3 linked regions of the Pelodiscus sinensis genome follow. The protein of the gene in region 1 interacts with the protein of each later gene in a biochemical or structural test. Links are inferred from orthologs where the notes say so. Each region holds a gene or a part of one and is shown in the gene's direction. Other genes may lie near its edges.

Region 1 (7,842 bases):
AGCAGTATGATTACTCAGAGCTCCAGTATATAGAGGGAGAAAAGCCAGTTGAGAGTCTATGACTTAGTTTAGAGGTAGAAGCAACAGGGGTGATGTTGTGGTTAGTGTCTGCTATAGACCACCGGATCAGGTGGATGAGGTAGATGAGGCTTTCTTCAGACAATCGAGAGAAGCTTCCAGATCACAGGCCCTGCTTCTCATGGGGGACTTTAATCACCTTGACATCTGTTGGGAGACCAATACAGCAGTACACAGGCAATCCAGGACATTTTTGGAGAATGTTGGGGATAACTTCTTGGTACAAGTGCTTAAGGAACCGACCAAGGGCCATTCACAGCTTGACCTGCTGCTCACAAACAGGAAGGAAATAGTAGAGGTAGGTGACAACCTGGGAAGCAGTGATCATGAGATGGTAGATTTCAGGATCCTGACCAAAGGAAGAAAGGAGATTAGCAAAATACACACCCTGGACTTCAGAAAAGCAGACTTTGACTACCTCAGAGAACTAATGGGCAGGATTCCCAGGGATGCTTACATGAAGGGGAAAGGAATCCAGGAGAGCTGGCAGTATTTTAAAGAAGCCTTATTGAAGGCACAGGAAGGAAACCATCCCAATGCACAGAAAGAAAAGCAAATATGGTTGGTGACCAGATTGGCTTACTGGGAACGTTCTTGGTGAGCTTAAAAAAAAGGAAGCTTACAAGAAGTGGACACTTGGATAGATGAGTAGGGAGGAATATAAATATATTGCTCAAGAATGCAGGGGAGTTATCAGGAAGGTGAAAGCACAATATGAATTGCAGCTAGCAAGCGATGTGAAGGGTAACAAGAAAGGTTTCTACACGCATGTTAGCAATAAGAGCGATCAGAGAGGGTGTGGGGCCCTTACTGGATGAAGGAGGTAACCTAAGGTATGTCTACACTAGCCCCCTAGTTCAAACTAGGGAGGCTAATGAGGGCGACCGAAATTGCAAATGAAGTGCGGGATTTAAATATCCCGCACTTCATTAGCATGTTCCCGGCCGGTCGCCATTTTAGAAATTGACTAGCCCAAAGTAACTGCCCGCGTCTACACGCGGCAGTGAAACGGGATTCCAAATTAAAGCTCTAAATCGAATTAGCTGTTATTCCTCCTGGAATGAGGTTTAACAGCTAATTTGATTTAGGGCTTTAATTCAAAGGGATGGAGGTGGACAGCCGTTGGTGGGGAAAGAACAGGTTAGGAACTATTTAGAAAAGCTAAACGCACAGAAATACATGGGTCCAGATTTAATGCATCCGAGGGGACTGAAGGAGTTGGCAAATGTCATTGCAGAGCCTTTGGCCATTCTTTGAAAACTCATGGAGATCGGGAGAGATCCCGGATGATTGGAAAAAGTCAAATGTAGTGCCCATCTTTAAAAAAGGGCAGAAGGATAATCCAGGGAACTACAGAGCAGTCAGCCTTACCTCAGTGCCGGGAAAAATCATGGAAGGGATCCTTAAGGAATCCATTTTGAAGCACTTGGAAGAGGGGAAAGTGATTAGGAATAGTCAACATGGATTCACGAAGGGAAAGTCAACAACGGAGTTTGTCAACAACTGTATCAACAACTTGTAATGAGCTTAGCAGTGAAAAAGAGAATGAAGATTGGAAATTTGCAAGAGAGCTTGGATCAAGGAATTTATTTTGTGGATAGGGCAGATCACAACTTGCTTGTAGTGAGTGTGAAAGGAGCTAGATAATATTGAAAGGTTAAGGCAGGAGGAGGCTACAACAGGGCTATGCCAGTTTAATAGGCTGAAAGGAATGGGAGGTTCGTGATAAATGGAGGGAGAAAAGAACAAGCAAGAAATCTCAGTTTTGGTCATGGGTAAAAGAGAAAAGAATATAAAAGGTGGGAAAAGAGCAAGGAAAGAGATCACAGTGCATCTTGCTGATCTTTTCCTTGAAAAATCTTGGTAAGATCTTACATGGGGAGAAACAAGAGTAAATGGGTCTGAGGAAGAAGTTGAAGGTGGTAAATAAAATAGGAAACAGCTGCCATGGACATGGCAATCAATTTGAGTGGAGAAACAGGTCTGTTTGGCCAGTAATATGACAAAACAAATGGAGAATTTGTCTGGAAATGGGTGACAGCAGAGGGATCACGTGTGGATTACCTGTTGTGTTCCCTCCCACTGGAGCATCTGGTATTGGCCACTGTCGGCAGACAGGATATTGGGCTAGGTGGACTGTTGGTATGACCCAGTATGGCTGTTCTTATGAGAAAAGAACAAACCTACTCAAGAAATACTTTGTATTCTGTTATATTACATTTTCAATAAGTTTCTGTAAGCTTCATGTACTAAATATATTTTCTATATAGTTTTATAACTCACTTTGGAATTTGCTGCCTCTTAAAATTTTATTTTAGCTGTCAAGTCAATACAGTGGCTTTGCTATATTTTGCCACACCCATAGGTTGAGAAGTAAACACCTGAGTCACCAAAAAAGACTGATAATTGACCAGAATGTTTTGTGCTATTCAGATTGCAATTTCCTCAGTACAAGGACTATTATCACCTTCTGTTTTGTACTGAATTGAGCATACTATCAATACTGAACAAATATTGTAATGACAATCAGCTGCAGGGAAGCTTTAGAATTACTGAAGCTTAACTGTACAGCTTTGCAGTTATAGAGTTCCATGTGTTTGTTGATTCTTGCTGTCTGATTTGCATAAACACTAAACTATTCTCTTAGCAATTACACAGCATAATTACTCTTAGCATATTAATATATGCACTATCGTTAATTATATCTATCAGCAAACCCAAACAGAAAGATTTGCAGAATCCTGTGTTGGTTTTAATAACCCCAGAACAAATATGCAGATGGGGTTACCAATTGTTTTAATCCTTACACTCTGGCAAGCTCCTGTAAGCAACACCAAAGACACTGCCTCAGTTTCTCACTCCTTGTGGCTGAAGTAGAGAACTCTAAAATGAACAGTGCTGGGGAAACCTAAAAGCAAGAAAAATATGTTTCTCTTTAATTCATTTCTCTTTTGGAGGCCCATGCTTCCCTGGAAACCAATGAGAACTGTGCAGGTGATTTCAATGGGAGCAAGATTGGGTCCTTTTCTTTCACTGCAAGTAAGCAGGGTTTTTATTTTAGCACAGACTTGTATATAATTTGCTTTTTAGTTAGAGACTGCTGCCACTGGCTGAGTTTTGACAAACTGTATTATTACTTGGGGGAAAAGAACCTTGCTGATCTGAATTACTTTAATCAATTACTTTAGTCAATCCTATGCATTGCTGCACACTGAGCTACCCCTATTTGTCATCCTTGCCTATCAATTGGCCTTCTCTTCAAATGAATATGTAGAAGGGAGAAGAAAAAATAGGCAGTTAGAACTGTTAATTGCTTGAGTTTATTGTGATTAAGTCAAGAGAAATAACTTGATTTTAAAAAAAATATAGCAATTAGTCACCATTTTCATCACATTGTTAAACAAGAATACCAGCTGGAATATATTATAAATATCTGATGCCTTTCTATACTTTCAAACATTCATTTCAATTACAACACAATACAAAGTGAATAGTGCTCACTTTATATTATTTTGTATTTAAGATATTTGCCCTGTAAAAAGATAAAGAAATAGTATTTTTCAATTCACTTCATACAACTACTATAGTGCAGTTCCTTCATCATGAAAGTGGTTTGCAAATGTAGAATTTTCTAGTTACATAACTACACTCAAAAACAAAACAAGGTCAATCTTAAAAAACGTACAAGTCCACTCAGTCAGTCCTAACTTCTTGTTAGCAATTGGCTAAGACAAAGTTTCACATTTATGGGGGATAATGCTGCCTGCTTATTTACAATGCCACCTGAAAGTGAGAACAGAGATTCTTTGAAGGCAATGTTGCAAGGTAAATTTACATGCCAGACTTGCTAAATATTTATATGCCTCTTCATACTTCAGCCACCCTATCAGATGACATGTTAATATTTTATTTTAGAGTGCAGTTATGTAAAACAATAGTGCAATTTAGTGGAATTAATGGAATAGTGGAATTATTTTTGCAATAAAGACACTGCACTACAGTACTTGTATGAGATGAACTGAAAAATACAATTATCTTTTTACAGTGCAAATAAAAATATAGAATGAGCACTGTACATTATGCAATTGAAATCTCTGCAAATGTAAACATAAATAAACACCAGTAGAATACATGGATCATGTAACAGTATGACAAACCGCCAATAATTATTTCTTTTAAATCTCACACTTAACCATGACAGGATTTCATTGTTTCACAGCCCTTAACGAAAGGGCACAATTGTGCCTGAACAGCAAGACGGAGGAGCGCTTTAGCAGCCCGTATCGCTTGCAATAATTTTGTTTTTCCTTTAAAAATGTAAAGCCACAACGGCTGATTGCGCCTCTGACACCCCGAACGAAACAGGGGAAATCATGGGCTGAGGGGAGAGCACGAGCCACCCTCCTTCCCCCGCACCGCAGGACTCAGAGCAGGCCCAGGCCCCACCAGCACCCCGCTCCTGCCTCCCTGCGGCGGCTGCTCACGCTGCTGTGGAGCTACGGGCGGTGCCCGGACGCGAGCAGCGCCGGGGCCTGTCGGAAGGTCCGGGGCCGGGTCATTGTCCTTGCTGGCGGCGCTAGCGAGGCGGCGTCCAGCTGCGTGCGGGGCGGGCTGTTCCTAGCGGGAGGCGGCTCTCGGGGCATGTCCGCGGGCCTGACCTTCCCAACATGGCGGCGCAGGCGGCTCCCTCACGTAGGCCGCCGCCGGAGCCTCCCCCCGCGGGGCGTGGAGAGCAGGGGCCGGGCTGCTGGGTGGCTGGCTCTGCGACCGCGGCGGCAGCGGCCGGGGGCGGCGGACTGTGGCAGACGTTTGCCTGGCCCGCGGCGGCCGCACCGGGGCAGAAGCATCGTCGCACCCTGCAGCGGCAGCCTCGGGGCGCGCTGCTGGCTCGGCCTCCATCTGCCCCGCCAGGAGAAGCCGCCGCTGCCGGGCAGGGGGATCTGGAAAGCCCCGGCCGCCCCCGCACCTGTCCCCGGGGCCGCAGCGGGTTGGTGGGTGTCGCCGGCGCTGATCACCTGGGCTCCCGCCTTCCTTCGGCCGAGCGGAGCCGCGCTCGGCGCGCTGCAGACGGGCAGGGCAGGGCCGGGCGGCTGCGGGCTGCGGCGCCGAGCGGGTTCGCCGGGGACTCGCGGCTGCGGTGCGGGGAGCCGCGGCGGCAGGATGAACCCCAATGTCACCTACGCCAGTCGCAAGCGGCGGAAGCCGGTGCAGAAAATGTAAGAGACGAGCTTGGGCGGAGCAGGGGCGGCGGGGGGAAGCTCCTGGCCCTAGCGGGGCTGTCAGTGGCTCACCCAAACCGGCCCCTGGCTGCGCCCCCCGCAGCGGCTCCCCGCTCCCCCAGCGCCGTGTGGGAGTCTGCAGCCCGCTGCGCTTGGGCCTCGGGAGCTGGGGGATTGCAGCACCGCAGGCAGGGGTTACCCGGGGGCCGTTTGCTGCAGTGCCTGGTGCGCTTTTGCGGGGCTTTTTTCCCCTCTCGGCGGCTTTGGGGCCCCCTTGCCACAACGCTGGGCGTAGGCGTGACTAGTCGTGGGGCTCCGGGAGGTCCCCTTTTCAGCCTCCTCCCCCAACAGGGAAGTCTGTAGCTAGTTACGTTCAGAGTCCTGTTGTGAACAGGCACCGATGACCCAGTTGTGTAAGGATGGTGATTAAAAGGGAGAATGAGGACTTGGGTGCGGGGGAGGGGAGGAAGGAAGGAAGAAGAAATGACTTTAGGTTCAATGTGGCTGGGTTACCTGACCTAGACTAGGAAGCATTTAAGGTGGCTGTCCCTAGCGATGGCTACCCGAGCTCCCACCAGTTCAACTAGTTGTGAAAACGTAATTAAACGACACATGCAGTTTTAAAAAAAAAGTCCTGTTGGTCACAGTGATGGAGCAATTTCTTGTTTTGCTTAGCTGCGCTGCGGCGAGTGTATGTGTAGTTGTGTTGGGTGCACGGCTGCCCCTTCTCGTCCCCACTTGGATATGTGTGTAGGTTACAAGTCACTGCTGCAGTGTATTTGTCTGGTACTTTCTGGTGTCCTTTCTGGTGATCTGAGAAAGTGGGTCTGGCCCACGAAAGCTCATCATCTAATAAACCATCTTGTTAGTCTTTAAAGTGTTACATAGTCCTGTATTTTGTCTGGTACTGTGACTTTTAACTAATCACTTACACTCTGTATGAAGTCTTATACTTTAGATCCACTACCTGCCACCCCCTAAAATGTAATATATCTAGAGTGATGGTTTCTGAAAGTGGATGTCTCTGACAAGGTGCTTGGGACATGACAATAGATCATGTGTAATCATGTCATCCTGTTTTGGGAATATTTAAATAGTTTTTTCCTAAAGTTTTTTTATTTTGCCATTATAATTTATATTCATTTAATGCCAAGCAAACATAAAAATCAGAAACTATTGCCGCATCTTAAAAAAAATAAAATTATTATTTGGTTGCCTGAGTAAAGCTAGTTTTATTACACAAGTATAGACAGGATTGGGCCCAAGGCTGTACCTGATTCACTAGCAGATTCCTTTAATCTGAAATTAATTTTAAAGGAAATTGTTAACTTTCACATTTATCTACTACATAAAGATGCATAAATTAACCACAAATTTATGAAGTAATCTACTGAGCTGATGAGGGGGAAAAGACAACTACTTCTAACATACTTGAGTAAGCAAATTCCTTTATATCATTCAGCTCCCTGTTTTGGATCAGTTGAATGCATATTCAACCACAGCAGCTGCTATTGAAATATTTCTATACATGGATATTTTGCTTTAAGTGAAATTCTGTTATGTTTGTGGAGTGAATTAATCAGTGAAAAGCAATGTATATGATGATTTCTACCAAAACTCTGCAGAAGTGTCAGTAAATTACTTAATGTAAATGCGGCTAGTCACTTCCAAGCTAAAATATAGAAGTTATAGAACTGTTAAGCAATATAAATCTATAATTTAGAGAGAAATAGTTGCCCTATTTCAAGATATACAAGTATATAGGAAATACTTACCCTGTTTCAAGATATAGAAGTATATAGGAAATACTTACTTTTCCTACAGTTATGCGCAAGCGCAGTAGCACCTGCCCTACTGCAAATAACTTTCCAGCTCTGTTTACATACTTTCTTGACTAATCCTTTAAAGCACACACAAATCTTGATTTAAGGATCTGTTGTATAGCTATTCGCTCTTTTTGACCAGAGGTCTTAATGCTTTGTTTGCTAATAAATTCTAATCAGATCTGAAAACTGTTTCTACAGTATTTTTATACCTTCATATAAAAATGTCTGATCCTAAAGTTGCTTAGTATTTTATATTCTTTATTCTAATTTGCAACACTTACCATATTTGAATCTGAAGACTCTTTGTTATGTAAATCAACATATGAGTGGAAATTAAATTAAAAAAATTAGTCTTGAGGTGTCTTTGTCATAAAAGAGCTCCCTTTTTTTAGGACTAAAAGGGAAAATAAACCTTTTTAAATATTAAATATTTTTGTTTTTAATCTAGTCATAATTTTGTATTGGCTTATAACGTGTTTAAAAAACAGTTATATGTATTATTTACTATCCAGATGGATTGACAAATAACTTATGTAAGATTATTTTGTTTGTTCAGTCTACCTTTACTTATTTATTTCCCTTTCTTTGTTTAATTTTATACTGCCTTTTTATCTATATTCTGATAGCAGCTGTGGGCAACACTGTATCTGCAGGCCTGAGGGTTCTTATTTGCCCAGTTAAAAACTGATCAAAGTTCATACTCTTGGCCAAAAAAAGGG
Region 2 (7,719 bases), on another chromosome or scaffold:
GAAAATGACGATCTGGGCTTTTTTGTGCAAAAGCGCGTCTAGATTGGCACGGACGCTTGCGGAAAAGCATCCGTGCCAATCTAGATGCTCTTTTCCGCAAATGCTTTTAACGGAAAACTTTTCCGTTAAAAGCATTTGCGGAAAATCATGCCAGTCTAGACGTAGCCTAAAGCTTTGATGAATAGATCCACACTCTTCCTTGGTAACCTGGTTGTAAGAACATAAGAACGGCCATACTGGGTCAGATCAAAGATCCATCTAGCCCAGAACCTTGTCTGCTGACAGTGGCCAGTGCCAGGTGCCCCAGAAGGAGTGAACCAAACAGGGAATGATCAAGCGATCTCTCTCCTGCCATCCATCTCCACCCTGTGACAAACAGAGGCCGGTGACACCACTCCTTACCCATCCTGGCTAATAGCCATTAATGGACTTAACCTCCATGAATTTATCTAGTTCTCTTATAAACCCTGGGATAGTCCATGTGTGAGAGGGCCAACTCACCACCACAGCGCCACCAGCCATCTGTCCTGGGAATTAGCTCTTTCTTGCCAGCTGGGTGCCTTCCCTCTGGTGGTATCTCCCCTCTTTCTCCCGCTCATAGCATCCTCTTTGGGACACTACCCTCCGGCAGTGCCCATATTAGTCTCTGATGCAGGGGTAGCCCTAGACTAGCTGCCAGCAACTGGAGCTCTAGGCAAACCACGCAATTGGCACCCCCACCCCCAAATCCCTCAATGATATTTCACCACCATTTGGCACCCCATTTAACTTGGTGCCCTAGGCGACTGCCTAGTTCGCCTATATGGACGGGCCACCCCTGTCTCTGAGCCCCCCTAGCGGGGGTAGTTGTTGTCCACTTGGCTCACACTCCAGGGTCCTCTCCTTCAGAGAGCCCCTGGTTGCCTAAGCTACACAGTTACCAGGGTCCCGGTCACAGGGAGCAAAGCCAAAAATGGCCGATTTTGAACACTTTTCGAAGTTGGAACTGAAATTCGGCCTAAAAATGCTGTTTTCCAGTGGAAAAAATCATGTTTGCTTAAACCCATTTTTCAATGGGATCTTTTTTTGCTGGGGCGGGGAGGAGGGAGGAGGGAGGCAGATTTTGACCATGTCTAGTTTATCATGGGGACAAACGGAGATGTGGTACTTATGAAAATAAGAATGGCAGCTGCCATCGTGCCGGCGAGGATGAAAACGAGACGGCAGCCTCATGCTCCACCCCATAATTCGATCCCCAGCTGAGGTGCCAGGAAGAAATGCCCTTCATTCCGTACACCCCCGGCATCGGACGTCCTTTTTAAAGTCCTGCAGCAGGAGCTGTGGAAAAGGCCGCTGTAGCAACGCCATGGGAACAGGCTCCCGTCGTAAACCTCCTCTTTCCCGATCCGGACGCAAAAAGGATGTTGGGACTGAACAGGGGGTGAGGAGCAGTTCTGGAGAGAGGCTTTGTGGAGAGCATTGATACCCTTCACAGAGAGGATCAGAACTCGTGCAAAACCAAGCCCTGCCTAGCCAAGGCCATTTTTATCACATCCATGTGGGAGACGTCCCCAGTGTAATCCAGAGTCAAGCCAGGTCCCCAACAGGGGATCAGATTAGATGAACTCTGCTAGATAAGATGATTACATAAACCTTACTGGATAAGCAGAAGCAAAGGTCACTTGTAGCCAACAGGGACAAACACCCTCAGAAACATCCCGAGCATAGGGAAGGCCAACTCCAGGGACGGAGCAAGAACAGTTCCCCCGCCTTCTCTGACCTGACCTGCCGTGTTTCACTGAGAACCTTTCAGAGAGCAGAAGAAAGTGGCAGCAAGAAAATCTCAGGTTTATTCAGGACTTGGCAGCCCCCCCCCCCCCCCCGCTGCCCAGATTGGAACTTCGTGGTACCACATCCTCATGGTGAGAGGTGAGACAGGCCCTGCCCCAAAGAGCTTACAGCCTGAATGGACAAAGGCGGGGAAGGGACACAAAGGTGACACAGCTGAGCTGGTATTAGGCCTCCCAAACTGATACCCTAACCACTGGACCAGACCACAGCAGATTAAACAGACACAGCTAATGCTGGTGCCCTCTGTTGGAATTGCTGCATCATATCAGACCAGTTGCCCTCCTCAGTCCGTGTCCTATCTCCAACAATGGCCAATACCAGCAGCTTCATAGAAAAGTGCAAGAATCTCCTTAATGGACTATTCTGGGGCCTAATCCATCACCCACTGATGTGCATGTGAAGACTCCCATTGACCTGAATGGGCACTGGATCGAGTCCAGAGGAAGTGAGCCCTAAATATCTTGGTTCCGATTCTGCCTCCCTTGAAGTCCACGGCAGATTTGGGGTGGACTTTATTGGAAGCCGGGTTAGCTCCTTTATGCAGGGAGGTACAGACAGCACCCGGAACAGACAATAGGTCTGTCAGATCTGATAATATAACAATACCCAATGTTTTGGAGGAATGCAAACAAAACCGAATGAGACACCTAACCAACTGGGTAAGTCTGTACTCTAGTGAGTGGGATATTTCAGAGCTGGCTTTTCACCGAACGAGCACCTAGAAAGGACCTTGAGTGCCTGGGTCTCTACTCTTCTCTGGGAAGGGAGATCAGCCATCCACAAGGCACTGTCCCACTGTTCCTGGACCCCCCCCACAGCCTCTGTACACGGGAAGTGTTGGATGAAAGGTGGAGAAAGGCAAGGACAAGTTGAGGAGGTGCTGATTTTTCAGTGCCCCTGGCTACTGGCGGCACAGCTGTGAAAAAGTAAATGCTACTGGAATGAGGTAGCAGGGCACCGGAGTATGTGAGAAACCTTGACGACACGGTGAGTCTGTGAGCTGGAAAGACCGTCATGAGCCCCAGAGCTGATGTAGAGGCTGTGGGTCATGGAATACACAGGTCTGGCCTTCTGGGATTTGCAGGTTTGTGTGGCCGGGTGCATCTGTTTTTGCACATCACTGCAAGGAACCATGTTTGCTGCAAGTGCCTCATCCCTCTTACACTTGCCTTCTTTTGTGTTGCAAAGTTTAATTTGCAGGGTTGAGGCCATAGCCCATACAGTGTTTGGGGAGTGCAGAAGACGCTACAGAAATGGAAGGCTTATTTCTTTTGCATTAACCAAAGGTGGAGTTAAAAATAACCTCACTTGCAAAAGCCCCGGGGGAGCCAATTTCCTCCTCATGACCCAGGCTCATGTAATTGATGTTAATAATTTATAAGGCCAAGGAAGTTAAGGGTTCATTTTCCAAAATAAAAACACTCTCCCATCACTGAAGGTCTGCCCCTTGCCGCCTCACTCAAAAATTGCAGCCGCCACTGGCAATATTAGCTCCCTGGCTGTCGGGGGAAAACCTGGCAGAATAATGGAGATAAATCTCTCCAAAACTTAAAACCAAAGAAATGGACCTGGGTAAGCAACAAATCCAGGCCCCAGCAGACTCGCTAAGAGCTGAGAATTCCCATGCTGGAGCCCTCCACTAAAAGCAGCCTGTTGCAAGGTCATCCACAGAAAGGGTTGTCACATCCTTGCCTGGGTCAGCCCAGTCCCTCCTGGGTATGTGAGGGTTTGCAAGCACCGAGTCCCAGATTATAGGACGAGAGGAGGGGAAGTGTATGGCGGGGAGGGGAGAGAGCGCTGCTCTGGGTAAGCGGGAAAGTACATGATCCCCAGGTGCGGGAGGGTATTGGCTAAGCCTCCAGGGGCGGGGAAGCACATGATCCAGGTGGGGGTATGGGTTCAGCCCCAGATGTGCACGGAGGGGGGGGGTAGCACATGATCCAGGTGGGGGGTATATAGGCTCAGCCCCAGATGTGCGCGGAGGGAGGGGTAGCACATGATCCAGGTGGGGGGTATATAGGCTCAGCCCCAGATGTGCGCAGAGGGAGGGGTAGCACATGATCCAGGTGGGGGGTATATAGGCTCAGTCCCAGATGTGCGCGGCGGGAGGGGTAGCACATGATCCAGGTGGGGGGTATATAGGCTCAGTCCCAGATGTGCGCGGAGGGAGGGGTAGCACATGATCCAGGTGGGGGGTATATAGGCTCAGCCCCAGATGTGCGCGGAGGGAGGGGTAGCACATGATCCAGGTGGGGGGTATATAGGCTCAGCCCCAGATGTGCGCGGAGGGAGGGGTAGCACATGATCCAGGTGGGGGGTATATAGGCTCAGTCTCAGATGTGCGTGGGGGGGGGTAGCACATGATCCAGGTGGGGGGTATATAGGCTCAGCCCCAGATGTGCGCGGAGGGAGGGGTAGCACATGATCCAGGTGGGGGGTATATAGGCTCAGCCCCAGATGTGCGCGGAGGGAGGGGTAGCACATGATCCAGGTGGGGGGTATATAGGCTCAGCCCCAGATGTGCGCGGAGGGAGGGGTAGCACATGATCCAGGTGGGGGGTATATAGGCTCAGTCCCAGATGTGTGTGTAGGGGAAGCACATGATCCCCAGGTGGGGGAAAGAACTCAGCCCCAGGTGGGGGGGGGGCGCTTAGCCCCAGGCTCAGCACAACCGCCCGCCCCAAGAAAAAAAACCGGGCTCCTGTCCCTTTAAATCCTTCCTCCACCACTCCGGTGACGTCACCCAACCACGCACCCTGACAACAAACTCGCCCTTTAAATCGCCCCCCCTCTGGCCACGCCCCCTCGCGGGCGGGGCTGGGGAGGCGCGTGCGGAGGCAGCCTCCCCGAGGCTCCAGGTGGCCCCGCCCCTTTCCCCTCCCTGCCCAATGGGGACGGGCCAGGGAGCGGGGCCCCCGGACGCGGCGCGGGCAGGCTCGGCTACGCCGCAACGGGGAGGGATTTTCTGCGCCGCCATCTTGGACGTGGCGGCGGGACCGAGCGAGCGAGGGGGGGCGGCCCGGGGCGATGGCAGCCGCCGCCAACCCGGGTGAGTGCGGGGCCCCGGGGCGCGGGGGGGCTTGGAGAGCCGGGCCCCGGGCAGCTCACGGGGGAAGGGCGAGGGCGGTGTGGGCCGGCTGGGGAGAGGGGCCAGGCTGGGGGGGGGGCGGCTGGGGAAAGGGGCCAGGCTAGGGGGGGGGCGGCTGGGGAGAGGGGCCGGCTGGGGGGGGGAGAGGGGCCAGGCTGGGGAGAGGGGCCAGGCTGGGGGGGGGGGAGAGAGGCCAGGCTGGGGAGAGGGGCCGGCTGGGGGGGGGGGGGAGAGAGGCCAGGCTGGGGAGAGGGGCCAGGCTGGGGGGGGGGAGAGGGGCCAGGCTGGGGGGGGGGCGGCTGGGGAGAGAGGCCAGGCTGGGGGGGGGCGGCGGCTGGGGAGAGAGGCCAGGCTGGGGGGGGGCGGCGGCTGGGGAGAGAGGCCAGGCTGGGGGGGGGCGGCGGCTGGGGAGAGAGGCCAGGCTGGGGGGGGGGGCGGCTGGGGAGAGAGGCCAGGCTGGGGGGGGGGGCGGCTGGGGAGAGAGGCCAGGCTGGGGGGGGCAGGCTGGGAGAGGGGCCGGCTGGGGGGGGCAGGCTTGGGGCGAGGGGCGGTGTCTAGGGGGAGGCCTGGGGGATGTCTGGGAGGGTTGGGGGAGGGGATGTGGCGTCTAGGGGGAGAGCAGGGGGGTCTGGGGAGAGCGGGGTACAGGAAGTGGCTGGAGAAAGGGTGGCTGGGAGGAGGTGGCTGGGAGAGTGCAGGGGGGGAGGTGTCTTGGAGGAGGGGTGTCTGGTGGGAGTGCTGGGAGAGGTGTATAGGGAGGGGTGTGGAGGCTGAGGGAGGGAAAGCAGGGGAAGGGGAGGCTGTGGGAAGGAGTGGGTGGAGGAGTGCTGTGGATGGATGGACTGAATTCAAGGTGGCGGAGGTCAGATTCTCTAGGCCAGATGGGGTCCCATTTTGACAATTCAGGAAGACTTGGTGACCCAAGGCAATTCAACAAGGGGGGGGGGGCAGAGACACTTGGCAACCTTTTTGAAATGTTATGGTGAAACCCTGTTCTAGGCAGAGGGTTGCGGTGGGTGTCATATTTAAGCTTAGAGGGGAGGCTTGGCTGGAGCCTTTAACAGTAATGCATGAGGTGGGGTTGGACCAACCCCTTCCCAGTGAATCCCTCCCCCCAATTTTTTCCTGCTGCTTTTTACTCCTTGTTGGATTATGTTGCTGGCTAGCTTGTTTCGAAGTAGACCCTGCTTCCCTTCAAGGTCGCACACATGCAAACAGCCCAGTCTGTTTTGATAGGTCTCTTTCCCATCTCTGTGAATTCATTGCTGGCTGGCATGCAGTAAGTGCACTCCAGAAAATTATCTTAAAAAAAATTGTTATTTTAATGGCTTACATTGGGGTGTTCTTTCTGCACATATGTTGATTTGTTTTTGCCCTGGCAAGAAATAAAATCTACTGTTATTAATTGCTTAAACTATGAGGGCACTGCAAACTGTAATTCATGGCAATAAAAACAATATCCCATTTCATCTCTTCTGAACTGATTGACAGGCAAAACTGATAATGTACATAGGCAAGAGAGGCAGTGCTAGTGTGCTTTTAACTTTCTAAACTCTGCCTAACACAGGAGCTCTTTTTTATGGGTGTGTGGGGGAAATCTGGTATTTCTGATCCTTGCTGATTATAATTGAATCTTTCATGCCTCATAAGTTTCTGGCTAAAACTTTCTCATTTGTTTTGGTGTATATCTGATGTAACTTCCCTGATGCCAGTAGAGTTATTGTGGATTTACAGTGTTGTAGCGGATTCGAATTTTGACCTCTGCTTGTGTTCTTTGAATTGTGGTGTTTTCTGTATATTCATTTGTGGCTTGAGGCTGATTAGGTCTTGGGCTGTGAGAGCGGTTCACATTCATCAAATATTGTTAAACAGAATTTTGAAGGATGAAATTTTCATTCTAGCTAAACATAATTTGGTATAGTAACCTTTTGTGGCTTTCAACATTGAGAAAGCACCTTGGGTCTTTAGCTTGTGGTGATCTTGAGGCTAGGGTGCAGCGCTGACGTCTAGAAATACGTGGTTGTGGTTTCACATGTAAAGAACTGAAATTCTACAACATACTGAAGTCAGTTCCCCTTGTTTGAATCATTGACGCTTGTGTTGCCATTTGGTCAGAATAGGGCAACAGATTGAAACTTAGACCTCCCTACCCCCCAATCCTGCAAACACATGTGCTTCACAAATCAAAGAAGCTCCTCAACATAAAAAAAGTTAAGCATGTAGGTGTTGACAGGACTGGAGCTTTATAAAAGAGATTGCTCCCTTCTTGTCTGCCAGGGTGGTGGGGTTTTTTTTTTTGGTGTTTTTGTTTGTTTGTTTTTAGTGTTGAAGTTTCTCTTGCAATTTCAAGAGCAAAAGAGATGTAGTTAAATCCATTGCCTGGTGCAGTAAAGCTGGGGGGGAGGAAACACTTCATAAAGTAAACCAGATTTTGTAGTACAATAATACTTCTGTGATCTGAAAAGTAAGTACACTAATGAGTATTTTGTATTGTTCACACATGACAAAATGTTTATGCAACTTCATCTGCTGAGTTGGATGATATTTAGCATTCGAGACACTCTTTAAACATTGCTGAATTCACATGTCAAAAGAACAAGTTTTCCATCCTCATTTATAACTTCATGGCTACAGTTTGACAAACACACCAATAATAGCTTGATTCTCTAAACAGGAAAAGGTATTTACTCTGAGTAATTATGCATTGTATACATTTAGGTTAATGTTAGTAAGATAAGTTATTTGTCTGCTGCTGTCCTTGCAAGCTTTGACCCCTTTTTTCCCTTTTGGTATTAAAAAGT
Region 3 (7,944 bases), on another chromosome or scaffold:
TAATAAAAAACTATGGTCCAACTGGCTACATAACCTCTCCAAAGTCTGCATGTGGCTCATTACCCTGAACAGCAGTCCCTCCAGGGAACATGGGCCTTCTGACTCCAGTTCCACTGATAATGATAAAATACTGATTTCTCTTGTGCAGCTGAGATTTTAATAAATTCTGCTTATCACTTGTAAAGTAGTGAATTTCTGACTCCTCTTATGTCAAGTGTACCCATGTGCAAAAGTCTGACAGCATTCTATTGGACAATGAATTAGGCCATTTTTACAGTCCAATTTATATTATTTGTCCAAAGAAAGATTAGGTAGTTATTTTATTTCAACTAGACTTTCTGACTCATGAAAACTGAAACACAAAAAGTACATAATTCAGTTTTGTAGCTGCTAGCTACAGTTCAGCACAGCAACTTCATTTTATTAAAAAATTAGATTAAATTTATTCTGATTTACTCAGGGAATTTAGATAATCCTTTGTAATGAGAGAAGTGGCTATCAAACCTTGTATTATGGATCACTCTTTTGAGTTACATATCCTCCTGTATCCCATATAACTTTGCATAGTCAGTTACAAGGCTTGAGAATCTAGGAAACAGCACAGCTTTTTAGCAGTAGGGGCAGCACTTTACAGTTAAACTACTATCAAAGCATAAACCTTTGCTCAGTCATGCAGTGGTGAAAGTAAATTAAAAATCTTCCCAGGACAGGAGCCGCATGGAGCTTTGGGAGAAGGGCAGGACTCCGGACCAGCATCTGCCAGCCTCCCCTTTAGCACTGCACAGTGCGTATCACTTGGGGCTTTGGCAGTAATTTAAAGGGCCCAGGATAGGGTCCGGCAGTACTGCCATGACAGCACTTTATTGTCAACGATGTATGGGCAAGTACTGGCAGCCACTTCTTACCGGTATGCTATATCAGCCTGTACTGGGTACCGGCCCATTTTCGTCTCTGCAAACCGGTATCCTTAACAGGGTCTGCACTTCTTTAGGCCACCACTAGGTTTTATATCCATAGCAGAAGGTGCTAAAAAATCCAGCTTCACATTTCAACTCTTCCTCATTATGTCAGCTCTCTGGGATCTATTTTTGTGAACAATTTCAGATGCTAAAATTCTATTTCCCTTCCGTACCTCACACCTGAAACACTCAAATAACATTATGATGGCCATGATACAAGAATGCAAATAGATTTACATTCCTAAAAAATTCTGTAAAAGAACAGGAAGGATACAAAGTCAATTACTCAGAAGTTAGAAAATGCTATAATTAAATTTCCATGCAGTCTTAGTTTTACCTCCTTGTGTTTATGTATTATGAAAGTCTTGCTCAGGAATGCACAGAAATCCTGTGGCAGAGATAGGAATAGAAACCCATTCACTGAATTTTAATCAAGTGTCTTGAATACAAGACATTAATCTTTCTTTTCCTGCAATCTTCTGTTCTACCATCCTCCTAATGGATTGACTGAGGCATGGAGTCTTTCAGCCCAAGTAGTATGTGAACATGTAATTAAAGACTGTATCACAGCAGACAACTATGAGTCTCAAAAAATAAAGCTCCATCTGTGCAGATGCAATTACAGCATCAGGATCTATACCATCAAATTCAATGCACATTTGACCTACTACTGTATGGTGTCTTATGAGGTGGCTTCTGATTAGAGGTGGGCAGAAGCCAAGAACAAAGGAATGACCATTCTGTGTCAGACAAATGGTTCATCTAGCCTAGTATACTGTCTTCTGATAGAGGCCAATGCCAGAAGCTTCAGAGAGAATGAATAAAACAGGGTAATTATCACGATTCTCCAGTCCCAGCATCTGGTAGTCAGAGGCATACCTATAGCATGGTATGTCATAGTCAGAGCATGACGTCCATAACATTTGGATTAGAGTTGAATTTTCAAAAAGCTGAGGTTGTTCGTGTCTACAGGTATGGACTATTATAAGAGCAAGATAAAAGGTTGATGTTCCTCAGGTTAAGGACTGTGCTTTTTTGGCACTTCTCCTTCCAACAATGAAAAATCACCAAATCAGCAACAAGTCTGACATTAGACCTGTTGTTTTATTTGTTCTCCAATGATAGGTAATTAGTCCAATGTAATAATATCAGTTTCCTTAACTCATGTTTGGAACTACAGTGATAACAAATAAACATTTAAAAATTGCATATTGTTATAATAGGAAAAGTACATTTTCAGTCTTTTTGTTTTCAAACACACCTGACTATTTTTGCTCAATTGTCTTTCCACCTCTCACCCCCCACTTGCAAATATCAGATTTTGAAACAAATAAAGCTTCTGACATTTCAGCACTGGAAAATAATGAAAAAGAGATTTATATGTAGCTTAACCACTATAGTTGTTACTATAGTCACATAATACAACAAAAAGAGTACAGCATCTAAGCATGATTCATAAATAAAATATTAGCTTTACACTTGCACAGGCTGGCATGTGGATAGGACTTAAGCAGAGAGGGAGATGCTGAATTGAGCAGTTTAAGTTTGGTATGTGAACACTTTCCTCCAAGTGGATTTTTCTAAGAATTCTGAAAAAAATCCATCTAAGATGGATTTTATATTGCCTGCCATTTTGAAAGCTAGAAATAAATGTAGCCATTAAATATAGGCAAAATGCTAGTGACTATGATCTTTGAAAAATGCTGAACATAAATCAAGATTTCTTAAAAAAAAATCCTGGAAAATATGGTTTTTAAAATAGAAAATAATATGGTTTTTAAAATAGAAAACTAAGAAAATAATATGGCTATTGGCATAGACCAGTGGTGCGCAACCCGTGGGTCGTGACCCCCAAAGAGGTCACAGATATCTTTCCGGGGGGGGGGGTCACAGTGTTTAGATCCGTTGGCAGCCACACGGTGTGGTGCTTAGTTCCAGCTGGCTGGGCGCAGCGCGGCACTTAGATCCAGCCAGCCGGTGGCTGGGCCCAGCAGTTAGTAGCCCCCATGGTGCAGTGCCTAGATCTGGCTGGCCGGGGGCTGGACCCAGCAGTTGGTAGCCCCCGCAGCTTGGGGATTGCAGATCAAAAAAGGCTGCACATCACTGACATGCACACTACAAACTAAGGCCCTGATCTTGCAAAGACAAAAGCACTCTCCTCCTTATAACTGCCAATTTGCGTAAAAATTAAGTGTATACATAAATCTTTGCAGGATCAGGGCCCAGGGTAGATCTGGGTACAGAAACCCCAGTAGTGGATACGTAATCTGGGGGAGATGAGCCAGGGAAGTGCAACTTCTGCAGCCCTACTCGCTGTACTATTTTCTGTCTGTTTCTTTGGGCTCAATTCTGAAAGGTTCTGAAAGCCCACAATCATCACTGAGATCAAGGGATCACACAAAAACTCAGGCCTTTAGGTCTAATACTCCAGTCATTTCTGCGTATGTGGATCATACTGCAAAATCAGGATATTAAGACTTGGAGATAGAGCAGCTGGCAAATTTGTTTAAATATTTTTTCTAATAAAAAATCTGCTTTTTTCAAAAGTGACAAAAGGTATCCATTTTAAGTGAAATTTCATTTTGGAAAAAATATCAGAATGAAGGGGCTATAATATGTTCACATGAAATTCACTGATTTATATCTAAAACATTTTGAAAGGTCAAAATAAGAGCTAAATGTTTTAATTCTAAGTGGAACATTTTGGTCATCTCAAAATGTTTTCTTTTGGGGAGGATTTCAATTTTTAAAAATTTCAGTTTCTGATTTTGTTTCGTTTGGGCTCAAAATTTGCTGAACTAGACTATTAAACCCTTTACTTTAAATGCAAGGTCTGTTCTCTCTGCATGGCAGTCAAGTCCTAAATTTAGTGAAGGAAGCGCAACAAGAGGGGGGGGGAGGTAGCAGCTAGGCAGAGAAGCACCAGTGAAGCCCAATGCAGTAGACAGGCAAGAGCTAGTATGTGGTGAGATTAGGGAGTGCCCCCCACATCTTTCAGTACAAAGTGACATGTGAGGGGGCTGCCCCAGGAACTTTCAGTGCAGCATGGCATGTTGTGGGTGACCCAAAGCCACCCAGTCGTGTATGCGGATCACCTCAGGGCTGCAGTGACGAACCCAGGCCGCAGTACCATGCAGTATAGTGTGGGGAGGCACCCTAGAGTCACGCAAGAGCCTGAGGGGATGTCTCAGGCTAATGCACTGAGGCGTGGCATGGGGAAGATGCGCCCCAGATCTGTACACTGCAGCGGGGCACGATGGCGCCCCAAGGCCGTGCATGTAAGGTGGCATGGGGGGAGAGGCACCCCGGACCACGCATGAAACGCGGAACGGGGGGAGAGGCGCCCTAGAGCCATGCAGCATGATAGGAAGGGGGGGGGGGGGGGTCGCGCAGTGAAGCATGGAAGGGAGCACGCGACGGGGCTCCCCGGGGCCACGCACCGAAACGCAGAGACCCTGAAGGGAAACGCAGCTGGAGGCGGGGTAGCGCCCCCCAGCTCTCACACGAGGTGCGGGAGGCAGAGAGAAGCGCGTCGCTTCTGGCTGCTTCTAGGACCTTCTGCGGGAAGCAGGGTGAGGGCGGGAGGCAGAGCCCGAGAGGCGGGACTTACAGAGGCTGATGGATTCCGCCTCCTTCTAGGATGTTCGGAGGGGAGGAGATCGGCTCCGGCTTGCAATGAATGAAGTCACCTTGCAGCGTGCGCACTAGCTCTCCCCGCCCTTTCCGAAGCCAACCGGTGACAGTTGACCTCGCGCAAGCGCATTTCCCATCCCCGTCTTCAGAGGCGACAATTGGAAATGGAGCGCGCGTGCGAGCCGGGCTCCGCATGACGCATGCGCAGTCGCCTCAGCGAGGCGCCAGACGAAAAACGCATGCGCAATCCGAGAACGGTTCGCCCAGCGCACGCGCATTTTGATCGCAGCAACCGCCCCCCTCCGTCAGCCCCTCCCCCAGTGATGAAGGTTGGAGTTACCCACCCCCGTGCCTGTCAGTGAAGGTTCCCGATGGTTCTGGAAGGAGGCGGCGCCGGGAGTATATAAGCCGGGCGGGGGGCGGCGAGCCGCCAGTTCCGTTACTGCGGAAAGAGGAGGACGCTTAACTTAGAGGAGCAGGAGCCCCAAGAACACTCACCGCCAAGGTGAGGCGCGAGGAGCGGTGGCTGGAAGATCGACCCCAGGATGGTTTTTTCCTCAACGGGCTCGTTCTCTAGCTGAGCCTGGAACCGTGGCTTAGATTGATGGCGGAGCCTTTCCGCGCCGTGTGGTGGAGCAGGCTGCCCTGCTTGCGGGGGTGGGCAGTGCGGGGGGGCGATGTGAGGGGCGCAGCCCACAGTGCCTGGCGCACAGCGGTGCTGGGCGTTAAGGGGCGTTCGTGGCCCTTAGGTGGCTGCTGAGGAGGAAGAGTAGGTGGGAGCGGGGAGACGCAGTATGTAGGGGGCCCGCCCCCTTGGGTACCCGCCTGGCTCACATGCAGGGGGGGGATGATGGAGACCGGCAGCAGGAGGAGGGGTCTATTGGGAAGAGGGCTTGTCGCGCGGCACGGGGGGGGCACCGGCTTGGGGAGGGGAGGGTCCGCTGGGCGCGGGACTTGCGCTTGCGGCTGGGGGGGGAGGTGGAGGTGGAACGAGGGGGAGGAGAGGAAGGCTCTCGCAGTTTCTAGAATCTGTTCCAGGTCTGGATCTGTAGGGGGCGCTGTGCTCCCATGTTTGTCAGTGCCCACTCTCCCATGCCTGTGGTGTCTAGCCTGCCTGAACTGCTGTAGAAAGTACCCTTGGGGATCTGGACTGACCCAATTCTCGGTGGCTATCTGTAGTGCAGTGCATTTTACTAGTTACTGCAATGGAAAAGTAGCTAGTGAGGTCTCCCTTCAGTTGGATTTGATTTAAATGCTGCAGTGCAAGTTTAAACAGTCATGGCACTGGGCTCCCCTGACTGGCAAAACCAGTTTTTCCTGCATGACCAATAGATTGTTACCTCTGATGTATAGATACCTAGCAAGAGATGGCACTCTTCTCTGTTAAAAGAACCTGTGTTGTTACAAGCTGAAAGTGTATGAGCTATAATGTTCTGTGGTCTTTAGGAGAAAGCTCCCAGTAGGACTGAGTATTCAGCCAAAACAAAAAAATTGACTATTTGACACTAACCAGATTATCCAGGTATGTCTTGCAAGTCACATTCTAGATCCAAATGTTGTATAAAGTGAAACTTAATTTTTGAAAGTTAGATTCTGTAATGTTAACTTACTGTATTCAGCACTTAGTATTGTTCTTGCAATTCTGTATGCTCTGAGTTTTAAAGATGCATGGTAGGCAATTGGACAAATTACTGCCACATTAAACCTTCGTCCTCTTGAGGAGCTGAGACTTGTACTTATCTGTCACTGACAGGCCTTCCTAGACAAGGGTTATAAATGAGCTGGACTGCCCTTTGCTGCCAGCAGGAAGAGCATACCAGTTAGGTTTGTCTTTCTTAGTTGAATATTTAAAATGCTATATGCTGTCCACGACCCTTTCCCAAAGTGGTGGTGCTTGTTAACAGCAGTTTAGGTGGTTGAACATAAAACGGAGCAAACATTAGTATTCTTCACCTAAGAGCCATTCTTAAGAGCTTAAAGTTATAACTTCATTTTAATTCTACAGATGCCAGAAGCTGTGCAGACTCAAGACCAGCCAATGGAGGAGGAGGTGGAGACCTTTGCCTTCCAGGCTGAAATAGCTCAGTTGATGTCTCTGATCATCAACACTTTCTATTCCAACAAGGAGATTTTCCTGAGGGAGCTGATTTCTAATTCATCAGATGTAAGTAAGAAAAATGTCACATGCAATCAGTGACATTATTACCTTTAAATACAGGTAGTGTGGTGAGGGGTCTGATAGTTGTATTCTTGTTTTGTAGGCTCTGGACAAAATCAGATATGAGAGTTTAACTGATCCAAGCAAACTAGATTCGGGAAAAGATCTGAAAATTAACCTTCTTCCCAACAAGCATGATCGCACCCTGACCATTGTGGATACTGGCATAGGGATGACCAAAGCAGACTTGGTTAACAACCTGGGTACTATTGCCAAATCTGGCACCAAAGCTTTCATGGAAGCATTGCAAGCAGGTGCAGATATTTCTATGATTGGTCAGTTTGGTGTTGGCTTCTACTCTGCCTACCTGGTTGCTGAAAAAGTAACAGTGATCACCAAGCACAATGATGATGAGCAGTATGCTTGGGAATCTTCTGCTGGAGGATCATTTACTGTCAGACTTGATAATGGTAAGTGCTAACTTGGTGTTGTAGAGGTAGTTCTAAAGTAGTCCTTTATAGTATAAGGAAATCCATGAATAGAAGGCTCTTCAAGGTGCTACAGCTGTAGCATATAGTATCTTGTAATACTAGAATGACAGTTAAAATAACTGCTTCTCAAGGGTGATATATCTTAATCTGCAGCAAAATTAATTAAGCTGTAAGCCAGTTACAATAGTACCATAGCAGTAGTCTTCTGTTTGTCTTAAACATCTTTCCAAACATTTACTGGTGCTTACTGTAAAACTCAAACCTTATTCTAGGGGAACCTCTTGGCCGTGGTACGAAAGTTATTCTGCATCTTAAGGAGGACCAGACTGAGTACCTGGAAGAAAGACGAATCAAGGAAATTGTGAAGAAGCATTCTCAGTTTATTGGCTATCCAATTACACTCTTTGTAAGTGTTCAGCTTGGAAAGCTAACACAATTTTAACTGGTGGTAAAGAATGTTAAGTGAGTACAAGGTTTAGCCATAATAACTTACAAAAATGATTCTGGAGTCAGATGGACCAGATATAAGTATATTAATGACTCTTAATGTGTAGTATAGACATTTGTCTACAAATCCTAAATAAGAATCTTCTCTCCCCTGTCCCTCCACCACACGCACTTGCTGTTGGACTCCTGCCAAACAGCAGTGCTTTCAGACCTGATTCTCTTGACAGCCACAGAATAGGGTGTAAAATGTGTAACC

Evidence for each region. The genes of interacting proteins can lie anywhere in the genome.
Region 2: the proteins of AHR (region 1) and ARNT form a complex in vitro, tested with the Homo sapiens proteins (14 studies listed by BioGRID, with this or other methods). The link is inferred for Pelodiscus sinensis from reciprocal best matches to the Homo sapiens genes AHR and ARNT.
Region 3: the proteins of AHR (region 1) and HSP90AA1 form a complex in vitro, tested with the Homo sapiens proteins (2 studies listed by BioGRID). The link is inferred for Pelodiscus sinensis from reciprocal best matches to the Homo sapiens genes AHR and HSP90AA1.

Annotation. Positions count from the first base shown.
Region 1 is NC_134712.1:202,993,696-203,001,537, reverse strand, and holds the start of AHR (aryl hydrocarbon receptor), read left to right. Parts: upstream 1-4,828; 5' UTR 4,829-5,238; coding exon 5,239-5,294; intron 5,295-7,842. UniProt on the Homo sapiens protein: Ligand-activated transcription factor that enables cells to adapt to changing conditions by sensing compounds from the environment, diet, microbiome and cellular metabolism, and which plays important roles in development, immunity and cancer.
Region 2 is NC_134734.1:21,819,299-21,827,017, reverse strand, and holds the start of ARNT (aryl hydrocarbon receptor nuclear translocator), read left to right. Parts: upstream 1-4,712; 5' UTR 4,713-4,718; coding exon of another isoform or gene 4,719-4,857; coding exon 4,858-4,879; intron 4,880-7,719. UniProt on the Homo sapiens protein: Required for activity of the AHR. Upon ligand binding, AHR translocates into the nucleus, where it heterodimerizes with ARNT and induces transcription by binding to xenobiotic response elements (XRE).
Region 3 is NC_134714.1:22,309,279-22,317,222, forward strand, and holds the start of HSP90AA1 (heat shock protein HSP 90-alpha), read left to right. Parts: upstream 1-4,937; 5' UTR 4,938-5,097; intron 5,098-6,597; coding exon 6,598-6,756; intron 6,757-6,853; coding exon 6,854-7,220; intron 7,221-7,513; coding exon 7,514-7,647; intron 7,648-7,944. UniProt on the Homo sapiens protein: Molecular chaperone that promotes the maturation, structural maintenance and proper regulation of specific target proteins involved for instance in cell cycle control and signal transduction.